Linked DNA regions of Ovis aries. The protein of the gene in region 1 interacts with the protein of each later gene in a biochemical or structural test. Links are inferred from orthologs where the notes say so. Each region holds a gene or a part of one and is shown on either strand. Other genes may lie near its edges.

What was found.
Region 2: the proteins of ELK1 (region 1) and SRF form a complex in vitro, tested with the Homo sapiens proteins (2 studies listed by BioGRID). The link is inferred for Ovis aries from reciprocal best matches to the Homo sapiens genes ELK1 and SRF.

Annotation. Positions count from the first base shown.
Region 1 is NC_056080.1:57,187,989-57,191,468, forward strand, and holds part of ELK1 (ETS domain-containing protein Elk-1), read left to right. Parts: intron 1-1,816; coding exon 1,817-2,260; intron 2,261-2,914; coding exon 2,915-3,382; intron 3,383-3,480. UniProt on the Homo sapiens protein: Transcription factor that binds to purine-rich DNA sequences. Forms a ternary complex with SRF and the ETS and SRF motifs of the serum response element (SRE) on the promoter region of immediate early genes such as FOS and IER2.
Region 2 is NC_056073.1:16,767,986-16,772,369, reverse strand, and holds the start of SRF (serum response factor), read right to left. Parts: upstream 2,869-4,384; 5' UTR 2,482-2,868; coding exon 1,966-2,481; intron 223-1,965; coding exon 1-222. UniProt on the Homo sapiens protein: SRF is a transcription factor that binds to the serum response element (SRE), a short sequence of dyad symmetry located 300 bp to the 5' of the site of transcription initiation of some genes (such as FOS).

The DNA.
Region 1 (3,480 bases):
CTAAGACCTCCAAAACAACGTGTATAATGCCCGCTCCACACCCCATCCTCTTGTATTCCCAGAGCAACACCAGTCCTCTCCAATATTTATATCAGTTGTTTTATTTTATCATCTTATTCCTGTAGCTAAAATTATAAATTTTGCTTATCTTTTCCTCTCAGACTGCCAAACCAGTGCTAGATATCCCCCCTCACATTTATACCAGTTATTTCATTTTCTTATTTCTTTACCTGAAACTTCCAAAACAATGTTTTTCTTCTTCCAGTTTTACTGCAGTATGATTGACACACATTACTGTATAAGTTTAAGGTGTACAGCATAAAGAGTTGACTTGTATACATCAAGAAATAATTATCACAATAAGTTAAATAAACATCCACCAGCTCATACAGATACAAAATAAAAAGGAAAAAAATTCTTTACACTCTTAACTTTCATATATAACATACAGCAGTGTGAATCATTTATCATGTTGTACATTATATCCCTAGTACTTACTTTTCTTATAACTGGAAGTTTGTGCCTTTTGACTGCCTTCATCCAATTCCCTTTCCTCTCACCCCACACTGAAACTTCTCAGACAATATTAATGAGTCTCCCTTTTCATTCCTTTTCTGAGAAACACAAACCCACCCTGTGACATTCGTGGCCAACATGAAGATGTCTTCAGGGTGCCCTAATGCCCCCCAGATGCCTCTTGTCCCTCAGAACAGCCCTAGACCGGTGCTGTTGCCCACCGTTAACTCGCTTACAGCATTTATTTCATTTTTTAAAATATATTTATATTTTTTATATTTTTATATTTTAATCCTTTAGCTCAAACCTCCAGAACACTATTCATAATGAGTCTGCCTCACTCTATGCACTGAAACCACTAGAACATCCCTGAGATCCTCCAGGGCTATCCTGAAATACCCCAAACGTGCTCTGTGACCCACCCAAGCCAGCCTTAAGATTCCCACAGTATTTTTACCAGTATTTTAAATTCTTGTTAGTTGCTATCAGTCACTTCATTTTCCAATTGTTTCAGCTTAAACCTCTCCAGTGGTATTAAGAATAAGGCTCCTCATCCTCTCCACCCTGATGACTTTGCCCTGTTTCACAGCTGTGTCAAGAGCTTTAAATCATCCTCTAATAATTCATATTTATTAACAATTCATCACCATATTCTTCCATATTCATTTAGTCTCTTCCAACATTTATATCAGTGACTTCATTTCCCTGTCTTACTGCATTAGCTAGACTCCAAAACTGTGTCCTGGCAGCCACCCCCAGGGCCCGGCCCTGTTAGCCCACAGACACCCCTGGTTCCAGGAGCCAAGAGGAAAGCCTGTTCCTAGATCTGCTTCCCTAGTTGGGTCCCAGTGTGGAGAGGAGCCAGTGGGTGTGGCCATGTGTATCTAAGGTAGGGTGGGGGAACCTAACAGAAGATGAGAGTATGACAGAGGGAGACTTGGACGGGGATGGATGGGACTGAGGTGTGGCAGGGAGAAGGGCAGTAGACTAAAGGAAAGATTATGCAGTGGGGAGACAGAGAAGGGGAAGAAGCTGGAGGAGAAGACAGGGAAATCGGGTTGGGGAAGAGTAGTAGAAAGTAGGGGAGAAGGGAGGAGGCCTCAGATGAAGAGGTGAGTGAGATGTGAAAGAAGCTGGGAAGAGGACCCTATGGGGACACAGACACTGAGCAAGGACAGTGTATATGTAAAAGGACAGGAGAGGCATGAAGGGAAAAAAACACCAGGAGACACTCCTCACCGTCCACTCTCTCTAGCCCTTTCTTCTAAGACACTCTATCCTGTCTCTTCCCCCTTACCAGAATATCATCCGCAAAGTGAGCGGCCAGAAGTTTGTCTACAAGTTTGTGTCCTACCCTGAGGTCGCAGGGTGCTCCACTGAGGACTGCCCGCCTCAGCCTGAGGTGTCTGTCACCTCCACTCTGGCAAATGCAGGCGCCACAGCTGTACACGCCATCCCCGGGGACACTGCCTCTGGGAAGCCAGGCACACTCAAGGGTGCAGGAATGGCAGGCCCAGGTGGCTTGGCGCGCAGCAGCCGAAATGATTACATGCGCTCAGGCCTCTATTCCACCTTCACCATCCAGTCCCTGCAGCCACAACCGCCCTCTCACCCTCGACCTTCCACAGTGCTCCCCAACACCGGCCCTGCAGGAGTAGCAGTGCCTCCCTCGGGGAGCAGGAGCACCAGTCCAAACCCCTTGGAGGCCTGCCTGGAAGCTGAGGAGGCTGGCCTGCCTCTGCAGGTAAGGACTGGAATATGGAATTTCAGCAAGAGGAGGGATGTACAGTTCCCAAATGAAGAGAGGGACTGGGAAGAGGAGGGACATAATGTCCTGTTAAAGATGATATAATGGAAGGAGAGACACAGAAGTCCCCTTGGAGAAAGAGATGGGGAGGAAAACTATTCAAAACCCTGGGAAGGAAGAAGGAAATTGAGTGCACTACAATTAGCAGTACACCCAATATGTAGTAGGTGCCCTTGAATGTATTTGCTTAATGCACTGGCTCTCACACTTTTAGCACTCATCAGAAAGCACTTAGAGGGCTTTTAAAGACAGACGTGCTGAGGGACACCCCGAGAGTTTTTCTTTATGTGAGTCTGAGGATGGGCCCAAGAGTCTACATTTTTAACAAATTTCCAGATGAGGTGTATGCTGCTGGTCCATAAAGCAAATTTTTGAGAACCACTGCTTTTATACATGGGGGCAGTATTTCCTGGAGTCCCACCCCTGAAGGCAACCCAGATAAGAGGACCAGAAGCCCCATTTTCTTGGCAAAGTACCACATCTTGTTAAAGGACCTGCCCCTATTCTCAGGTCCCACTTTCCATGGGAAATAACTGGCTTCACTACCCCAGGAATCCTTAGGCATCCCTTCTGCACTCGTTCCTCTCCCAGGTCATCCTGACCCCACCCGAGGCCCCAAACCTTAAATCCGAAGAGCCAAACATGGAGCCTGGGTTGGGCCGGCCACTGCCCCCAGAAGTCAAAGTGGAAGAGCCCAAGGAAGAGTTAGAAGCTGCAGCCAGTGGGGAGGCGGGGTTTGTGCTGGAAGCCGTCAAGGCCGAGCCCTTTGAGCCCAAAGTCGACCCAGAAGTCCCTCCAGCAGAGGGCGTGCCAGCCCGGCTGTCCGCTGTCGTAATGGAAACTGCGGCGCAGGTGGGCGGCCTCACGGCTTCTACAACACCCAGCGCGGAGATTGCCCAGCCTCAGAAGGGCCGGAAGCCCCGGGACCTGGAGCTTCCACTCAGCCCGAGCCTGCTGGGTGGACCAGGACCCGAACGGACTCCGGGATCGGGAACTGGTTCAGGTCTACAGGCGCCAGGTCCAGCGCTGACGCCTTCCCTGCTACCTACGCACACATTGGTGAGCACTTTTGAAGGGGCGGGGCTGGCACCTGGAACAAATGGGATTGGGGCGGGGTGGCGCGGGGTGGGGGAGGGAGACTTACCGCGAAGGCCAAT
Region 2 (4,384 bases), on another chromosome or scaffold:
GTCTGTCTCTTCAAAGCCGGTGGCACTCATTCTCTGGTCTGTGGTGGGGTCTGAGCGGGGTGGAGAGTCTGGCGAGTTGAGGCAGGTCTGAATCAGTGCCTTGCCAGTCTCACTGGTGATCATGGGCTGCAGTTTGCGGGTGGCAAAGGTATACACATGGCCTGTCTCACTGGCCACCAGCAACAGCACCTGTGTCCCTGTCAGCGTGGACAGCTCATAGGCCTGGGGGTAGGGGGGAGGAGATGGGTAGAACAGCAAAATGTTTAATCGCTACCTTCCTTGGCTAGCAGGAAAGAGGGAAGTACACAGTGATCTCAAGCTCCCACTTCCATAATGACCTTCCTCTCCAGTGACTCTAAGGGGGTCCTGTCTGAAGGATATCTGAAGGTTAGCTGAAGAGTAGAAAAACCCCATGCCCCTCCTTTGAGGAACAGCCCCACTGACCAGCAGATACCCCAAGCAAAGTCACAGCTCCCAGTGACAGAGCATATAACCTCAGCAGACACAGAGTGGCCCAGGGAGCTGCTCCTCACTACAGCTTGGTGCCAGAGCCTCACGAAGAGATGGCTCCCACCACCTCATCACCATCACAGGGACCAGGATGAAGTCACTACTACACTGAGTGTCACATAGATGTCAGGGATAAGGAGCCACCTAAACTCCAAATGTCCCATATTTCTTTCCAGAAACTGCACAGGCACTAACCTGTTGCCATTTTGTCCTGCTCTATAGAACTCTGCTCCCCCTTTTCACTTTCTTTGTCTTGATGAAACAGTGTCTGGAGTGATGGGAGATGGCAGCTAGATTAGCAACTACTACGCTACCATAATACCGACTCGATGGACATGAGTTTGAGCAAGCTCCGGGAGTTGGTGATGGGACAGGGAAGCCTGGTGTGCTTCAGTCCATGGGGTCACAAAGAGTCAGACATTAACTGAGCGATTGAATTGACCCTGCCATAAAGCCAGGAAGGGGCCTTCAAGGATGGCCCCATAGGTGGCATCCTCACTCCCAATAAAGTTCCACAACCCACTGGAAGCAGCCTTGGTTTCTATATGGGATGGATATAAACACCGGCCAATGTTTCCAGAGTTCAAGCTTCTTGTTTCCCAGTTACTCTGCTTCCATTCCTTCCCATATCTCCTATAGGCCAAAGATGACTCCTTTCCTCATTCTTTTCACTGGATAATCAGCTAGAAGAGGAGGCATTGCTAGGTACCTCTGCAAACCTTCTCTCCAAACTCCGTGCACCGATTTTTCCCTAGGGCTGGAAATCCCACTTATCCCAAGGGCAAATGGTTCTGAGGCCTGTCCTGCAGGGAGTGTGCCGGCTTCCAGTAGATGCATGAAGACCCATGGCCATCGCAGGACTTGGTTTCTGATGCTCAGGGTAGCATCCGTTTTCCTGCCCTGCTCCCTTAACTGGGGCTCTTGAGCCCCATTCGGTCATCAGCCCTGCCCGTCCTTCCAACCAACATCACTCTAGCGATGCCCACCTTCCTCCCACACATGTTCGCTCATTGTTGTTACACAGATCTAGCCTCCTCGCCCCCACACCTTCTTATCTGTTCCCTGCTTTTCCGGCGCCTTTCCCGGAACACCAGAGAGCACTGGACCTACTGACCCCCCGGCCTCATTCAGCACCTCCCCGGGAGCCCTGCAGCCTCCCATCACCACTCTTCACTCCTCGGCTCTGCAAGGGCCGAGTTCCTCTCACGCGCCCGTCACTCCCACCTCGGCGCCTTTCCTCTTTTCCGGACAGTCGCGGCATCTCCCCTCTCCCCACATTTCCCTGGCGGCCCCTCCCCTTTCACCCTCCCGGGGCAACAGTCAACCCCTCCCACACACCTCCTGCGGACTCGCCGCCTCTCACCTCCGCCTCAGCTCTGCCTTCCTCCCGGGCTCCCCTTGCGCGTCCCCACCCTCCTGGGCTCCCGCTGGCCGGCCAGCCTCCCAGCCCGGTACCTTCTTCATGATGCCCGTCTTCCTCTTGCTGAAGGTCGTGTAGCGCCGCAGCTTGTTGTCGATGAACTCCATCTTGATCTTCACGCGGCCCCGAGTCTTCTTACCCGGCTTGGCCCCGCTCACCGCTCCGCTCACCGGCCCGTAGCCCCCCGTGGCCGCCGCCGCCGCCTCGGGCCCACCGACCACCACACCGAGCTCCATCTCGCTCAGGCTCCGCTTCAGGCCGCGCCGCTCGGCGCCCAGCTCCTCCTCTTCGCCCGACTCCGAGTCACCCTCGCTGCCGCTGTAGAGGGCCCCCGCGGTGGGCGCCGGGGTGGTTGTCGCTGCTGCTGCAGCCTCCCGCTCAAGGCGGCCCGGCCCAAGCCCCGCGCCGTTCCCGGGGACCCGGCCCCCGTTAGCCCCTCGAGTCCCGCCGCCTCCACCGCCCGGCCGCCCCGTCGGCGTCCGGTTCAGGCTGCCCCCCAGGGCTGAGCCCCGGCCCAGCGCCGCCGCGGCCCCAGCTTGGCTCGGTAACATGGCGCTCAATGCAGGAGGGCGGACGGGCAGTCAGCGAGGAATCGGAGCCGCCGCCGCCGCCGCCATCGGCTTCCCGGCTCAACCCGGTGCTCCCGCTGCTGCTAATATCGCTATCGCTGCCGCCGCTACCGCTGCGAACCCGGGGCCCCTGCACGCCCGGGCCGACCTGGGCCCTCACTTTCCTGCCCCTGTGGCCCGGGTTGCCCCAGGCCGCGCGGAGCGCCCCCTGTCCGTACGCTAGGGCGGCGCGCCCGGCGGCCGTCAGCGTCCCCCGGGGGGCAGGGGCTGCCGGCCGCGGCCGAGACGGCGGGTGGAGGGGGCCGGGACCACGCGCTGGCGGCGAGGGATCCCCCGACCCTTCCCCCCATATAAAGAGATACAATGTTTCCTTTTATGGCGAGGCCGCTCCTTATATGGTGAGCCCCTGCACCCCCGCCCCATTGGTCCGCGGTTCCGGCACCTCCGCTCCCCATTGGCCCACAGGGGGCGCTTATTTGCATAGACATACCGAACTCGCTGCTGTCATCCCGCGTCAGACGGCGACTCCAAAAGGGGAGGAGCCGACGCCTCTTAAAGGAACAGGAGAGGAGGTACGACTCCGCCCCCCTGGCCAGAGAATGGTAGAGAGAGTTGGGAGGAACCTGCAGAAAGCCTGGAAGAGCACTGGAGCGCAGTCTTGCGGAGGATAGGAAGCCGCACTGGGAACTCGGCGCTGCAAGGGCTGGAAGCCAACTCTGGAATAGTCCCTGAGTGGATTGTGCGGATTGCAGTAAATTATATGCAGCCCAAATTCCCAGGGAGTACAGGGATTAGAGCACTTCCCCAAGCCTTCCTGAGGGAGTCAACGTTACTGGCCGAGCAGAGGGGGCTTGGGTCCCCGCTGTCCAGACTTGTTGCGCCGCGCGGCCTCTCGGCTCCACCAATTCCCCTCCCCCCAACCACTTCCTTTCCCTTTCCCTCTCTTTTCAAGGCGACGACACTTTCCCACCAGGACGGCTCCCTTGTCCTCATTCATCATTCTCTATACTGGTTGCGGGGGGCGGGGATCTTTGGCATACGTACATCTGGAAAAGACCCGGGGAGACAGTCGGCCTCCCGGTCGCCAATGGGGGCAGGGAGGAGAGATGAAGATCTGTGAAGACTTCCAGCTGCGGCTGGACTGGGGGAGGGGGTGGTCCCAGGGATAAAGCCCACCCCCAGTCAGTGCAGAGGCCTGGGAAAAAGTGTAGCAGAGCAGAAAGTTTAAGCAAGCAAGTGCACACACGCGCGCCACACACACACACTCACTCCCACCCTTCTCTTAAAAACCAAGTAAAGCCCATAGAAGGGGCGGGGGGCCAGTTCGACTGGAGTGGTGCAAAACCCAGGTTTACAGTCTGGGTCTGGTTCTTAGCTACAAGGCAGTGAAAGTAGCTTGAACTTCACTATTACAGAAATTATTAAAATCTGGAAGCTGCCTCTTCCTAGCCCTGCGCCTGGAAACAAGTGTTTGACCTCTCCAAACTCCACATGACTTCACTGTTGGTACTCATCCCTTGAAGTTCTTAATAAAGATTAGGTGAGATACAGATTAAAGTGCAGTGGTGGTCCAAGTGGTGAGGTAATCACCTTATGTTTAAGGGGATGGGAGAGAGTGATGATTCCCACTTTAAATTACTGTAAAGATTAAATAAAGTAGTCGGTGGTGAATCCAGTGGTAGTGATAGGTATATTTAGTATACTGCAATTTAGTATACTGCAACATGTAAATTATTATTAATTTAATGGGTCTCACAAAAAAAGAGTAAATATTACAGTGTAAAACTTCTCTTTGTATTATTTTTAGTTTGAACAATATAAAGTTGCCATTTTATAGGTCGAGGGTGGGATACTGTGAATTTCATACGGTTCAATGTGTGTGTAC